2 linked regions of the Rhinolophus ferrumequinum genome follow. The protein of the gene in region 1 purifies or fractionates together with the protein of each later gene. This does not show direct contact. Links are inferred from orthologs where the notes say so. Each region holds a gene or a part of one and is shown in the gene's direction. Other genes may lie near its edges.

Region 1 (7,591 bases):
CGTACTGGCGACAGGTCCGCTCAAAGAGCTTGGGGTGTGCAGAAAGCAGGGGTCACAAACAACCGAGGAACAACATGGCCCAGAGAGCCAGAGAACCATGGCTGGGCTATCTCCACAGTAAAAAAGCCAGAAGCAGAGCAGCGGGAATGCAGAGAGGTGAGGCACAACCAGGAAAATGATTATGGGAAAATAGGTGCACACCGTGAGACTCACCGAGGAGATGCTGGTGTGGTTGGCCATCATGAGCCCGCTGACCCGGTGGGCAGAGGGCAGGTAGGGAGACTTCCTTGACAGGGCCACCTGGATGCTGGCTGGGCCCCAGGGGATGAAGTTGGCCAACTTCCGTTCCCGGATCCTCTGCAGGCTCTTGTGGACCTGGGGTGGGCAGAGGAGTGGTGGTGGTCGCCTCTCCTCTACCCCTGCAGGTTCCAGGGGTGGAATGAAGGGGCCTCACCTACCTGAGTGGGGTCCACCTCCCCCTGGATAATGTTGAGGATGGCAATGTAGCAGTGGTTGGTCTGGCGATCCCGGCCGGTGGACACCATCACATTCTTGGGCTGCAGCAGCCGCCTCATGACATCCAGGACCGTGGTCTTCCTCACGCTGGCCACCTGAGGCGAGAGTGGGCCACAGGGAGCAGGCTAGCACTGAGGGCACAGTGCAGGGACGCACGGACAGACGAGTAGGCGGCACGTGCCCCCACCAGACTTGGGGCAGTATGGTCTCTTTGGGGAGTGTCTTTGGATTCAGTTCTATACCGAGCCCCTGCTGTGGGATCAGGAATCTGAGCCCTCCTCAGCTCAGCAAACTCATGCCCCTGTGCAGGAGCACACGCAGACCCTGTACAGCCCAGGCCCTGCAGGAAGCCAAAGGCAGAGGGAGAGAGGAGAGCGAGTCAGCAAGGAAGTCGTACAGTCTGTGCCAGTGCCTGAGCGCAGAGCCTCTGGGGGCTGCACAGGGCAGGTCCTGGGGCAGCAGGGAGAAGAGAAAGGCTAGCTCAGGGCCTGCGGGCCCAGGGCCAGCCTGGCCTGGGACACTGAGGGCCCTTCTTACCGACTGGTCCGTGGTGAGGGGGGTGTAACCAGTCATGAGGAAGTGGAGCCGCGGTGTGGGAATGAGGGAGGCGATGAGGCCGATGAGGTCATTGTTCATGTAGCCCGGGTAGCGCAGGGTGGTGGTGCTGGCCGACATGATGGTAGACACCTGGGGACCGAGGTGCCATGTCATGCGTCTTGCCTGGGGTGGCCTCCCTTCCCCAGATGGCACTCTGAGCCAAAGGAGTCCAGGAGTGGGGCCTCACCAGCTGATTGATCTGGGAGAAGGATGGGTTCTGGATGTGCAGGCGATCTGTGGCGATCCGGTTCAGGGCTGTGTTGTCCAGCACCACCTGGGGGGACAGGAAGAGGTGGCAGATTTTTGGGAACATAAAGAACATGAGCTCTGCCTGAGCCAGGGCTCTGAAGCTCAATTTCCTCTGAGCCTCATAGCCAGAAAGACCGATCCAAAAGGGATTTGAATAGCACTGGGGCCTAGAAGATCTCAAAATGAAAGTTTTAAGTGTATGAAAATGGTGAAACAGACAAGGGTATGGTAGTAGGAAAAGGTAGAATCTAGGACTCACCACACAGTCTGCGTTCTGGGTCAGCCTTTTGAGTGTGAGCAACGAGTTGTAGGGCTGGACCACCACGTCGCTCATCTCGTCCTGGTTGGGAAACACTGAGTATGTCTGCACCAGCTTCTTAGGGTACCTGGTGGGGATTGGGAGAAGAGAGTCAGGGTGACAGACTGGATGCTTGATACACATAGGGCTTCCAATAACTGCCTGGAAGCAGCTGAATCTGGACGGGGAAATTGGTGCTGGGCCATGGGATCAGTAGAAAAGGGAGAGGTGACTTTTGGAAGTCTGTAAGTTTCCCAAAGGGCAGAGAGACATCTTAGGATCTAGGGTTCTAAATCCAAACTGTCCATCCTCGCTGACCCTTCATCTCTCCACCTAGGACCCAGATTGTAAGGTCTGGGTTCAAGCCGCGGGGGTGGCTAGGAAGGCCCTTTCCTGCTCCAGTGAATAACAAGGTATATCTGAAGGGACTCTCAGTTACTTGGGAAACCAAGTCCTCCCAGGCCCGTCAAAACTCAGACGTACCTGTCGTTCAGCCGTTCTAAGAGGTAGGAGCCCAGGCCAGAACCTGTTCCCCCAGCAATAGAGTGACACAGCACGAAGCCCTACATGGGAAAGGGGCAATCAGTGTCTAGGTTAATCTAGTGAAAGGATTTCAAACTGGACCCATCCCACAATTTCTCAGACCCCTATCTTCCACTTTCCTGCCCCCACACATAGAGCTTAGGAGCCTGCCTTATTTCCAGCAAGGTCCGGTGGCTTCTGTCCAGTGCAAAGGGTACATGGGTGGTCTTATACCTAACAGATGGCTTCTAAAGGGTAATGCTGAGCCTTCCCTATGTCGGTTCCCACAAGTAGTGCTGAGACACTCACCTCTAGACTGTCACTGCCATCTGCCTCCCGGTCTATGATGTCAAAAATGTCCTCATGGATCTTCTCTCCCTGTACAGATATGGGGAGGGTCAGAGTGGGACAGGACCATGGGACAAGGACTCTGAGCTCACAATAGCGACCCTCGATTCTCCTTATAGCAGCGAAAAGGGTTTTTTGGAGCACAGGGGCCCTGCTTTTTATTCTCATTGAGAGACAGTATGGTACAGTGGTTAGGAGCAGGCACTCTACATCCAGACCGCCTAGGTTCATACATCAGCTCTAGTTCTATTTAGCCGAGTGACTCTGGGCAGGTTACCTATTCTCTCTATACTTCAGTTTCCTCATCTCTATAATGAAGGTATTAATACAGGTCCGTATACCCTTATCCAAAATCCTTGGGGCTTATGGTTTGGAATTCAAATATTTCATATTCTAGAAAGGTAATATGATACATATAATGTATTTTAAGCAAAATGCCAGCAGGGTCTGAGGTGCCCTAACCGAATACATCAATATTTCTGCAAAGAAAGGTATGAGTAATGACAATAAATTGGATAGAAATTATAAAATAGCCTGTCTCAATAGATTTGGTTTTGCTGTTAAATCGTCTTTTGCTTTCAGTTTTTTGGATTTTGGAAAGGTAGATAAAAGTCTGTGAACCTGTAGTACTTCTAGGGTTGTTGGGAGGTTTAAGTAAGTTAATACATATTAAGTACTTAGTATGGCCTGTCACACAGCACTAGCTAGTGTAATGTCTTAAGAATATTACATAGTTGACTTAGAGAAAAGCACTTCCCTCAGTCATGTCTCTCTCCCTCTCCCACTCATACATCCTCTATCTAATTTCATCTCTCTCTAGGAAGTCACTGGGCCTGTTCCCACACAGGAAGGGCATTGCGGGTCTTGCCAGGGAATAGCAAACGACCTGGGAGAATCCGCTGGCCCAGTTGTTGCCAGCTCCTCCTCCATGCTCCGACAGGTAGATGTTCTCTGGGTTGTAGAGCTTGGCATAGGGAGAGTTGAGGATGGAGTGGATCACCCGGGGCTCCAGGTCCAGCAACACAGCCCTGGGGATGTAGTGCTCATCGTCCGCCTGTCAACGGGAGTCCAGGAGGGGGCCCACTCAGCTGAGGCCTGCCCAGTCCTCGGTCCTCCCCACTCTGGCTCCTGCCTGCCCTCCCGCCTCAAGCCAGCAGCCCTGGCTCCTTTGCCCAGCGGGGTTTCCCAAGGCCACTGCCCATCCTTTCAGGCCCCCTGGCCAAGTCGCTGGGAGCACCTGGTAGAAAAAGACGTCCTTGCGGTCAGTGCCCTCGGTGGCGAATTCCTCCACGATGCCCTCGGGGCTGATACCATGCTCAGCGCACAGTTGTTTCCAGAACTCGAACCCAACTGGAGGGGGGAGGCGGGCGGAGGAGAAAGAGGATATCTAGGTCTGGGCAGGTTCCAACTAGGAGCTGGGGGACTGAGCGCCCGGGTCCAGGGATAGGAAGTCAAGGCTCAGCAGACTCCCATGACAGAGGAAATAGCTGTATGCCAGCGATTGGGCAGGGAAGGGCTTTCGGGGTTGGACAACTGAACACTGGGTCAGGCATGTCCCGCGTTTTGGAGAACTACGATTCTGGAAAGGGCAAATGGGAGTCCAGTATCCCACAGCAAGACCCCATTGAATCTAAGGAACCTGACTAGCGGAGGGGCCGGAGGTTCGCTCACTCTGATTGCCGCACTGGCCCAACTGTAGGGTGATGATTTCCCTCGGCATCGCTCTTCAGGCACCGGCGTTGCAGTCACTCCTGCTAGCAAAGCCTCCGTGCGCCAGCCCGCCTGCCGCACGACGCAGGCGCCAAACAACCCGCTCCGCCCACGAACTTTCTCCGCTCCAATGAGAAGTGAGTTCTGGCGATGGCACTTTCTTATTCATTTGGCTTCACTAGTACCGACTGCGCGTGCGCGGCACCGGATCGGGCTCGGAGCTGGTGAGAGGGGAGCATGGTTTGACGTAGCGTTCTGTCTGGGTGGAAGCCAACTAGAACCCAAGCGCAGGCGCAGTGTGGAGGGAAGCGGCCTTCCCCGGCCAAATCGCGCATCTGCGCAGTCGGTGTTATTGTGACTGTCGGGCCGCGGCCCCGGATGTGGTGGCTGAAGGTGGGAGATGGCGGAGGCAGAGGGGGTGGCTGGAGCGCCAGGCCCAGTTTCGGGGCCGACTTTCAGGGGCCGCGGCGCTATGTCGGGCTCCTTGGAGCGGGACCAGCAGGTTGAGGCGGCGCAGCGGGCCCTGGTGGAGGTGCTGGGGCCTTACGAGCCTCTGTTGAGCCGGGTGCAGGCAGCCCTGGTGTGGGAGCGGCCAGCCAGGAGCGCCCTGTGGTGCCTGGGGCTGAACGCGGCTTTCTGGTGAGAAACTGGACCCTCAGAACCCCTCCGCGGAGCGAATTCGTCAGGTTTCTTTAGGGCACTACCTCTCGCCTCACCTGTTTTCTTCGCTGCACTGGCTCCTTCCTATCTAATTTTGCCTCACTTCCACTTCATCCCGCCTGCAGGCTTTGGCATCGCAGTTCTCCGTAGGGCCTTCCAATTGTCTTCCCTCCTTTACCTGCTCCCGCACCCTCGCCCCGCACATCTGGATCTGGCAGGAGCATCTAGTAACGCCTTGAGCCGTCCGCGGTGAACGAGGGCGCCTCATTTTATCCAGGGAAAGCTGGGTCCCTTTAGGGCCATCACCTCCCTTCTCTTGTCTGCTCAAATGTGGTTTGAAGACTGTCTCTAGAGAGTTTAGTAGTTGTTACTGGGGTAGATGCGTGAGGCGTGAGGTCTTGGAATGGTATCCATGGGTGTGATAAGAAAACAAGGTCGATTGGTCTGAATTAGAATTAGCCCATTCACGGAAGTTTGTGAAGTCTGAACGTCAATGAGAGGCTCCAAAACTGCAACTTGAAAGTGGTAAGCTTTTAAAGAACAGTTGTGAAATAGTGATTGTGAGATTTCACCCGGTTGAAAACCCCTTAGAATTGCAACTCTCCTTGTTCCAAGGAATTGGTGAGAGGAGGCATCCTTAGCCGTGGCAGTTGAGGATGTCTCACAGTGCGTGTGAGTTTTCCTGAGCTGGGAGTGGGACTGTAAATATATTTTGAGACTCTGTATGTTTCATGCTCTGTGAAATGGAACTGTGGCTTCTCTCAGTTGTCATTACCTAAAGTGGACTTCGGTCTTCACAGGATCTGCCAAGCAGATCGAGGGAAAGATTATTGATCAAATTCCCAGGGAACTGACGTGTAGGGGTGGGGGTGCCTCTCCAGCTGAATGAAATAAGACTATTCTGGATAAAGCTGAAACAGAACAGTGTGTATCCAGCAATTTTTGGTTCTGCTAAAAATACTTTCCTCTTAAAATTCTTGGTTTTAAAATCAAAACGTAAACAAACAAACAAACAAACAAACAAACAAACAAAAAAACGTTTAGTATCCTTTCTCTGAAAGAAGGTTTGTCAGTCAGCTGGAGCAAAACAAATAATTCCACGTTCGTGATCAGACAGTGTTCAGCTATTAGGTTAATCCTCTCACAGTTTGAAGGAGACTCAAGTTAAAGTTGTCACAGTAGCCTCTGCCATTTGTTGCTTCCAGAGTCTTTAGCAAGCTTGATAATAAACTTTTTTTTTTTTTAACAGCATTCTTCTTCTTCTTTTGTTTTTTGTTGGTAGTGCTTCCTTGATCCCCAGTTCCTTAACTTCTCTCCTGTTGCTCCCTGTCAGGAACTCTGAAGTGTAGCACCTCATCCAGGAATGTTGACCAGAATGACCTTTTCTTCTCCTACCGCCTCCCCATCCTAACCCCTAACCCCAGACCATCCTGTCAAAACTTCATTCCCTACATTGGGATTGTACTCCGAGGAAAAAAAATTGGTCCTCAATAAACCAGTTTGTATCAAAGTGTGACTGGCTGATACATGAAAACTTTATCCGGATTGAAATAAACACCAAGGGTTTATTAATGCCGATGGATCAGTTGCATGTATGTTGTTATTTCTGGGACGGGGACTTTGCACATATCCCTTGCCTGAGAGAGATGTTTGAAGTGGAATGCAGGTGAAGGTCTACACGTAAGGAGCTGTTGTTCTGACGGAGCTACACCTTTCAGTGTTACAGTGTTAGCTTTAATGTTCAGGCCCGCAACAGTGTTTACGTAAGTTTATTAATAGGCCGTATTTGGAAGCTCCCTCAGATCCCCTTTTCCTACTCCTGGTCTCTTATTAAAGCATTGTGATGGGTCTTTATCTCTGGCGTTTCCTGGTAGCTTGCCTGCTGTGTCTCCAGAACAGTGCCTCTCGTGATTCCCATCATACGCTAAGTAGGTGGGGGAGAGAGAGAGCGAAATGAGGGTGTGACTCCTGAGATTGAAAGGGCAAAGGAGTGTGCCATTTATGGAGAAGACTCATACCTGTGAAGGGTACAGAATGACTGACAGTCCGGAGGCTGAGGGAGTTTGGCGCTGGAGTTCACAGGATTGTTTGTTTTCGGGAATGTGCTTTCTGGGAAGGTAGTTTGAGGCGCAGAATGAAAGACTTCACATTGCAGTAGCGTTATATTGAAGATGGGTGTCTGTTTACGTTTCAATTCGGAATGTCAAAGAGTGACAGTTTAATTCTTGGACATTTGAAGTGTTTAGGAAATGAAAGAGAAGAATTGGCTCAGGTCAGAGGAATCAATTCTGAAATATTTTTCTTTTATTATTGTTTTGAATAATAATATATCACTAACTGAGGTGTTTTATTCATTTTGAGGTATTATAAGATTGGGTAGGAGTAGAGAAAATCAGAATTCAGGTAGTCACTTTCACTGTTCTGTATTATCAGTGAAGGTTTTTCTGTACCTGTGAATGTGCCCTCTTAATAGAAACAACAACATCATAAAGGTAGAGATAGATGTAGATACCTCGCTACTATAGTATTTCAAGGCCTTCACTCTTGTTTTTTTTTTTCCCCCAAGTTCCAGAGAAATGGTGATCATATCAGAGATCTGCCAGCTTATATTGCTCCTGGTCACTGATATGTTATTATCTCTAGCATAATAACAGACATGTCAGGCCCCCCTCTCCAATTGCTTGTTTTTTC
Region 2 (7,423 bases), on another chromosome or scaffold:
TCAGCACGAGGACTCATAGATGCCCCAGGAAATCCAGTGCCTGGGGCCCTTCTGTCTGTGGACACCTGTGGACCCCACACCCCATCTGCAGGCCCCCTCGCTCTGCTGCCTTCCACATGCACTAGCCTGGAGAGGGGGAGGGGTGCGGGGAGGGAGGGTCTTGGGCTACTCCTTCTGACCCTCTGGTCTCTCCTGTTGGTGCTCCAGGTGTCTGTTTAACCTGTTTATACCCCACATTGCAGCCACGACCACATCCTTCCTACGGTGGGCACACTCACCCCCGCTCCGCTCCTCCTGCATGCACACGCGGACACTGGCCCGCACCCTCAGTCACACGCACACACACCTGTCCACACCCATTTTCCCTCGCACATATGCAGATTCAGCCCGGCTGAAAGGGGCTCCCCATCATTGTCTTGCCTCTCTTCTTGGAGGGGGCACATAGTACCGTCCTCCTCTGCTCACCCCTGGTATGCACACCCTGCAGCTGATAAGGATGGGAATAGTAGTGCCAGCCTCTGGGCACCATCTTGACCTCCTGGTGGCAAAGCCCCTCTGCCCAAAGCAGTAACAACAGCCCCAGCAGACCCTGACTTCTTCCTAGTGCTGGCTCTGTTCTCCCTGGATTTTCCTTTTCTGATGCTGGCCCCATGGACAGGAGGCCACCCAGACAAAAGCTTGTCTGCTTTGCTATCCTGTAGCTGTCCCAACCTCAGATCCCCAACCCCTGGTTCAGCCCCGCCTTTGAGATGTGGACCCTGAGCTGTGCTGGCTCCTTTGGATGGGTCCAAGAGCTGGTCAGGCCAGGGGCCCTGCAAGCACTTGAACCATGTGGGTGGGTGCCAGGAGTAGAGCTGGGCTGGAGAGCATCTTGGGGAACCTGGCACCCCTCCAGTCCACAGAGGCACACACCAGGGGCCTCGCCTTTCAGTGCAAGCTGAGTGGTAGAGGGGTGAGGGCCTTATGGAGTGGCTCCTGGGAGCCAAGCTTCTGCTGCCCTCTGCTGTGTGCTGGGGATAGCTGGGAGGGGCAAGGCGGGTAAAGAAGGCAGGGGGAAGGGAGGCTCTTCCCTGTGCCCAGACTGTGGAAGGGGCTCCTGGTGGCAGGATGCTGGGGGCACTTGGGTGCAATGCTATAATTCACTTACTTCAAATAAAAAGTTCCCACCCCATTGCCAGCGCTCAGGTGTCCAGTGGCAACAGTCAGCAGTAGCTGTTTCATTAAGAACCGAGTGTGTTTTTTCTGTCTCTGCTGCTCCCAGGGGGAAAGCGTTGGCTTTCAGACCCTGTTCCTCCCTGCCCCCTTCCCTCCGAGGAGTGAGTGGACACCCGCAAGGTCAGCCGGTACTGGGGTCAGGAGTTCATGGTGATGACACTAGGCCAATGTGACTCGTCCCCACCACCTGGAGCTGACTCATGGCCCAAATGTTCCTTCCTGGAGATCACAGTTTTGGGGCCACTGAAACTGGAGTCTGTCCCCCTGTCAGGTCACTCCAATCAACATGACCAAGGACAAGGTCAGCAGTGCCTTTCCTCCCCACCCCCTCTGCTGGGTAAATATCCATTATCACTGCCACCCTCTGCTCTGGGTGTGAGATGTCAAGCAAATGGACTGATTTCCCGGAGCCTGAATTCCCTCTGCAACACAGATGATAAATCCTACTTTGTCGAATCTTGATTGGGCCACCTGCTAGTTGGGTGGCCTCAACCACATCACTTAGCCTATTTGTATCTGTTTCTTCATCTGTAGAATGTGGAGAACCATGATACTTAACTGACAGGGTTAGTGTGAAATTTAAATGCATTCAATAGCTAGTCTATTAATATACGCAAGACACTTCAAAGAGTATGTCTGGCACAGAAGTATGACTTTCATTGGTCTGTAGGACTATATGAGACACAGAGGTAGCACAGAGAAGGCTGTTTTGTGGGAGAGGAGAAGGGTGCCCTTTAGGGAGAACTGCTGTCTGTGAATTAGGGTTCCTTATCCACCCTTGGTCTGAAAACCCCCGTACCCCACATCTTACCTGTAGTCTCAGATGCCCAACCAACCCTGCTCCTGACCACCCATCACAATGGAGAATCTCACAGGTGATGTGTCTGGGTTTCCGTTTCCTCAAACCATATGCAAGTGCCCTTGGCTTAGCAGGCGCCCCATTGGGTCCCCCAGCCATACTGTTCTGGGAATTCCTGCTTGTTCAAATGGGGAATGGGCCCTCACGCTGTGCCAAGGAGAGGTTGCCAGGGAAAGTGAGTTGAGTCTCCCGGACCCGTTGTCAGCCTGTCGCTCAGGAGCAAGATAAATATCACTCTGACTGTCTTCTCCTCACCCCCACCTCGGGCTACTCCCAAGGATAGGAAACACTTCTCTCCCTGAATGCCCAGCTCTCTGCACATGGGGAATGAAATCTACTTTATGCCTGCCTGGTCATCTGCCCTGGGGGTCATCCGTGTGTCCAGAGAGCTGCTTAGCAACCCAGTGTAACCAGGTGACTGTGTCAACAGCTCAGGACCAAAGGCCACGGGAGGCAGAATCCACTCACTCTGTCAAAGCTGAGGAGGATGATACCCCCCAGCTGCCAGCGTCATGCGCCTGCATGCTAGGCCCTGCTCTCAGCTGCAAACTCCTCACAACTTGTCCCTTAGATTTCCCAAGCACAGTTATCGGGACCAGAAGTCTCCATGTGAGAGACTGTCCCAGCTGGGATGGCTTATAGCTGACACAGAGGAGCTTTCCCCGATGAATGGGGGGGCGGGGGCGGGGGTAGAGAGAGGCCTGTGATGCTGAGGTCAGGCTTATGACCCTGGAAGGTCACAAGGGGAGAAGGCGGTTCTGTGGCAGGTACCAAAGGACTCAAGGTGCACATGCACACATTCGGCCCAGGTACCATTACCTCCTGAAGAAAGAATATCCCTTCCGTCTTCTGCATTCCCTACCTCTACCCCGCTCCTCCGGAGCTAGTCCCCTACTGAGCCGGTCTCACCCTTCTGCTCCAAGGACTGTGCCTAGAGATGGATGGTGGGATACTAGCCCTTGGCATTTCTTGTTCCTTCAATGCAGGGTGGGAGCTAGGCCCAGGGGAGGGGGTGGTTAGGTAGGGAGAGGGAGGTGGCAGGGCCTCGAGGGAGTTTCTCCTGAGGGCCAGTTTCACTGCTAGTTCTCACACTCAGCAACACCAATAAAACTGATGATAATAATTAAGTATAATCACAATGTGTTTTAATTTATTCCCAAGAAGCCTCCTTTCCCTGGCCCCCATCATTACTTATGCCATCCTTTTGAGGGGTGGTGGGTGTTAACTATGGCTCCAATAAAAAGTAATAACTGCCCACTTCCTGCCCCCACAGCTCTGGGCAGCTCTGCTGTCACCCTCCCCTTAGCCCCTTGAGGCAGAGGCGAGGCTGTGGGGGGATGGCAGGCTGGGGGATGCTGTGCTCCCCATTTAGAGGGAGGAAGGAGGCACCAAGCAGGAGAGGTACACGGAATGCAACCCCATGTGGCAAGTTGTAGAAGCAGCAGCGTTTGCCTTTTCTTTTGAGCCTCCCACCATCATCCAGGTGTACACCTCCCTCCCAGAGAAGCGTCTGTCTGTGTTTCCCGTCCCCTCCCAAAGCCACACGGAAAAAAAAAAGACTGATCCAGCCAAGCATTTATCCACCGACCAGCAACAAATGCCACCAGGTGCTGGTGGGCAAATGACTTGTCATCACTGAGCGTATTCCCTACAAGGTAAAAAAAGGATCTTTGTAAAAATCAAGACCCTGCATACAAAAATGCACTGCAAGATGGCAGTCGGTGATATTATTAAGCTCTCAAGGATATTTGTATTCTTGGCTCCCAGGAATAGGCGGAATTTCAAATTTCTGGTGAAGAAGGCATGGGGAGCTGGGGGCCCTGCCCAGAATCTCTCAAATCCTCGCGGTCAGCCTGCCCAGCCTTGCGGGCTCTGGCAAGGTACCCGGAGAGAAGCCAGCTCCTGAAAGTCGCTCTTCCGGGTGAGGCAGACGGGGGTGCTGAGTCCCTCCGGTTCCCTCGCCCCACCCCGGCTTTCCCTCTACTCAGCTCGGCATCTTTGAGGCCATCCTGAGCTCCTGACCCAGTGTGGTAAGACCTGGATTTGCTCAGCTAAACCTTCTTCCAGCTTGTGCCTGAGCCTCGAAGAGGGGACCTACACTCATCTCGTGCCCTTTCCATTTTAACTGAGGGGAAAACGAAACATTAAGGAGAAGCCACTGAAGGAGCCCCGGAACGCTGGAATCCAAAACTCCTTCCTTTCTTCCTCCCTCAGCCCCACCTTTTTGGTTACCGCTTCCTACCCCTTAACCTTTCGGAACAGGACGGCAGCTACGGTTAGCCCCCCGCCCCCCGCGAGTCGGAGGCGCACCGCCCCTTTAAGGGGCAGGCCGCTCGCCTCACTGACCTCGCCCCGCCCCCTCCAGGGCCACACTGCTCCTGCGCAGCGCGCAGGAGCCCTGGGATTGGGCAGATCCCAGTTCCGTGCAACTTTCAAGTGAGTTGCAAACTCCGCCCCAAGGCCGGTGCCGGAGGCAGGGCGCCGCGAGACCCGGGCACTCCCACTAGAGGAGGCCACGACCCGCCACCCTCTGCCTGGTACCCGCAGCGGCGCCCGGCCGAGAGCAGAACCCCTGGTTCTCCGAAGCAGGACGTGCGGGTCGGAGCCGTAACTGTCCCAGCGGCGCGGCGGGGCGGAAGAGCGCGCCCGCCGGCCTCCGCTCCAAGTCAGTTCCTGGGTGTTCTGGTCTCCTCGCCCCAGCCAGGCTGGTCTTTCCGCACTGCGGAGTTAGGGGGCGGCGAACTCCGCCTCCGCCAAGGGGCAGCCTGAGCGCCTGCCTGGTTCCTGCACCTCTGCTGATTCCCCCATCCCAGCCCCGCCGGAGCGTCTCTCGGGGCGTCTTCTTGGGGGCTCCCTTCGCCCTTGAGACTGCAGGATGGTGTCCTGGATGATCTGTCGCCTGGTGGTGTGAGTATGGCCGTTCTCACACCCTTCTCCCCGGGTGCCAGCCCGCCCCTGGGGTGGAAGCTGGGAACGTCAGGTGCTAAACGGGACTTTCTGAGGTCCGTCACAACAACCGCCCCCCCCCAACACTCACCGCAAAGGTTAACGGATCTGCGGGCTGGGGCATGCACGCGGCACCCGGCACCGCGAGCTTGTCTCCCCAGCGCCCAAAGCCTCCTTGGCTGATGTCGACCCTTTCTGCACTCACACACAATGCAGACAGGTGCGTGGGGTGGAGAACCACAGGCTGGCCCTAAGCCCCTTGGCAAACACAAGGTGTCGTGGCATGTTGTGGGCGGAGAATCCAGGTGCCTGCTTCCCATATGCGCAGTCACGTGACTCACCATCCTGGCCTCACCTCCCCATTTTGTCCTCCTCACCTTTCAAACATAGTACCTGGTTTGAATATCCCTGTCTGCAGCCTGGCAGTGCCAGGTCTGGCGGCCCTGAACCTGATTGCATGTCCATGGGAGGGGACAGCCTGGTGCTCTCACCAGCTCACAAGACTGTCTCCCACCCGCCTTGTTGAGTGGCTGTGTGTGCTCTGGCTTTATCATGCACCCATGGGCCACTGCACAGGCCTGGGCAGGCTTGGGATGTTTGTAAACAGCAGGGTGGGGAGGTGGCCTCCAGGGCACTGACTCAGATGCAGGTTGTGCAAGCCAAGCGGGAAGAACAGGGTAGGCCCTGTCACCTCAGACCTGTGGGGGAGGTGGCCACCTGTGGGGAGATGGGAGGGTCATGGTGCCCCTCACATTCCCCCTCTGCTTTCTGGGCTGCTCTTCTAGGCTGGTGTTTGGGATGCTGTACCCAGCTTATGCTTCCTACAAGGCTGTAAAGACCAAGAACATTCGTGAATATGTGAGTATGGGGGTTGGCAGGAGGGCTTGGCTCAGGTAGGGGTGGGATGACAGCCTTGGGGGGTATGGTAGGACTTGGCAAGATGGGGACAATCTGAGCTGACCTCCCCCTCCTCCAGGGGCATAATCGGCTGTTGGATCCTGAGCAGAGTGGGTATGGGTGGAGGATGAGCTCTTAGGGGGCCTGCGCAGGACCTTAGGGGTGAAGCCCACTGGGGGTGGGTACAGGAATGAGTGGCAGTTTCTCAGAGGCAGGTCTCTAGGGCTATACAGATGCCAAGAGAATGCAGCGGGACAGGCTCTCTGGCATCTCAGGGCTGGGTCAGCCCAGGACAGGGGAGTTGGCTTTGCAGGCTTAGTCGCTGGCTTCTGACCTCCCTGCCCCCTCCCAGGTCCGGTGGATGATGTATTGGATCGTTTTTGCACTCTTCATGGCGGTGGAAATCTTCACAGACATCTTTATTTCCTGGTATGGGTGCAGGGCTGTGTGGGCAGTGGGAAGGGATGACCCACCCTCAGCCTGACTCCCTGGCTGATCTTGCCCCTCCTATGCTCTGACAGGTTCCCTTTCTACTATGAGCTCAAGATGGCCTTCGTGTTGTGGCTGCTTTCACCCTACACCAAGGGGGCCAGCCTGCTTTACCGCAAATTTGTCCACCCGTCCTTGTCCCGACATGAGAAGGTACCCCAGGGGGAGGCAGGGAGGGAAGCACAGGGGTGGGTGTGAGAGAAAGAGGGGGACACCTGGTTTCTAATCCCAATCCTGCTGCTATTTACCTGTGTGACCTTGACAGAGTCTAGCATTCTTCTGCTTCTGGGATAATCAAATGGGGGCCCCTGGGAGTGGACTTTGAGAGTGTGAAACATCAGCTGGAAGTTGGTTTGGGGATGGCGGGGAGTGGGGGGAGGCTGGAGCACGGGCATTCATTGAGGTGTGGGAGTGGGTGTTAGGTGAATGTGGAACCCTGCTCTTGGTGTGGTTTCAGGCCCACTGGGTGGGGGTAGGCTGGGAGGCGTGGCAGCCAGTGGCTTCTCTGGGTCTGCAGAAGAAGAGTGACTCGAGCCGTCCCCTGAGCTCTCTCTGCCTTCGTCTACAGGAGATTGACACATATATCGTGCAGGCCAAGGAGCGCAGCTATGAAACGGTGCTCAGCGTTGGGAAGCGGGGCCTCAACATTGCTGCGACAGCCGCTGTGCAGGCTGCCACTAAGGTGCCCTGGGTGGGCCCCAGCCCTCCAGCAGCCCCTCCCCACCACCAGTGCCTTTTGGGCGAGTCCAGCTCTCTGTCAGGGTGCTGAGAGATAACAGCTGTCCGTATCGGCACAGGGGTAAGAGGTGACAGGTGGAGTACTGGCAAGAGCGTGGAGCTGGAAGTGTGTACTTCCCTGGCTCGGACACTGCAAGTGGCTGCTCCTGCTCTCTGGTCCTTAAGTTTCTAGTTGGTGCCATAAAGGCCTGGGGCTAGAAGGTTGCCATGTTGCTTTCAGTTCTGAGGCCTGTTCCCCGGTGTTTACCTGTTGGTCAGCCCTTGATTTCCCTGGGCATC

Evidence for each region.
Region 2: the proteins of RETREG3 (region 1) and REEP4 purify together in Homo sapiens (affinity purification with mass spectrometry; 3 studies listed by BioGRID and IntAct, with this or other methods). This does not show direct contact. The link is inferred for Rhinolophus ferrumequinum from reciprocal best matches to the Homo sapiens genes RETREG3 and REEP4.

The regions. Positions count from the first base shown.
Region 1 is NC_046304.1:38,319,628-38,327,218, reverse strand, and holds the start of RETREG3 (reticulophagy regulator 3), read left to right. Parts: upstream 1-4,583; 5' UTR 4,584-4,640; coding exon 4,641-4,879; intron 4,880-7,591. Other genes in the region: TUBG1 (tubulin gamma-1 chain), read right to left, coding at 1-28, 214-375, 459-611, 1,054-1,203, 1,301-1,387, 1,622-1,748, 2,144-2,223, 2,492-2,560 and 3 more. UniProt on the Homo sapiens protein: Endoplasmic reticulum (ER)-anchored autophagy regulator which exists in an inactive state under basal conditions but is activated following cellular stress.
Region 2 is NC_046301.1:44,281,916-44,289,338, forward strand, and holds the start of REEP4 (receptor expression-enhancing protein 4), read left to right. Parts: upstream 1-4,423; 5' UTR 4,424-4,949; coding exon 4,950-4,981; intron 4,982-5,805; coding exon 5,806-5,878; intron 5,879-6,269; coding exon 6,270-6,346; intron 6,347-6,438; coding exon 6,439-6,559; intron 6,560-6,974; coding exon 6,975-7,088; intron 7,089-7,423. UniProt on the Homo sapiens protein: Microtubule-binding protein required to ensure proper cell division and nuclear envelope reassembly by sequestering the endoplasmic reticulum away from chromosomes during mitosis.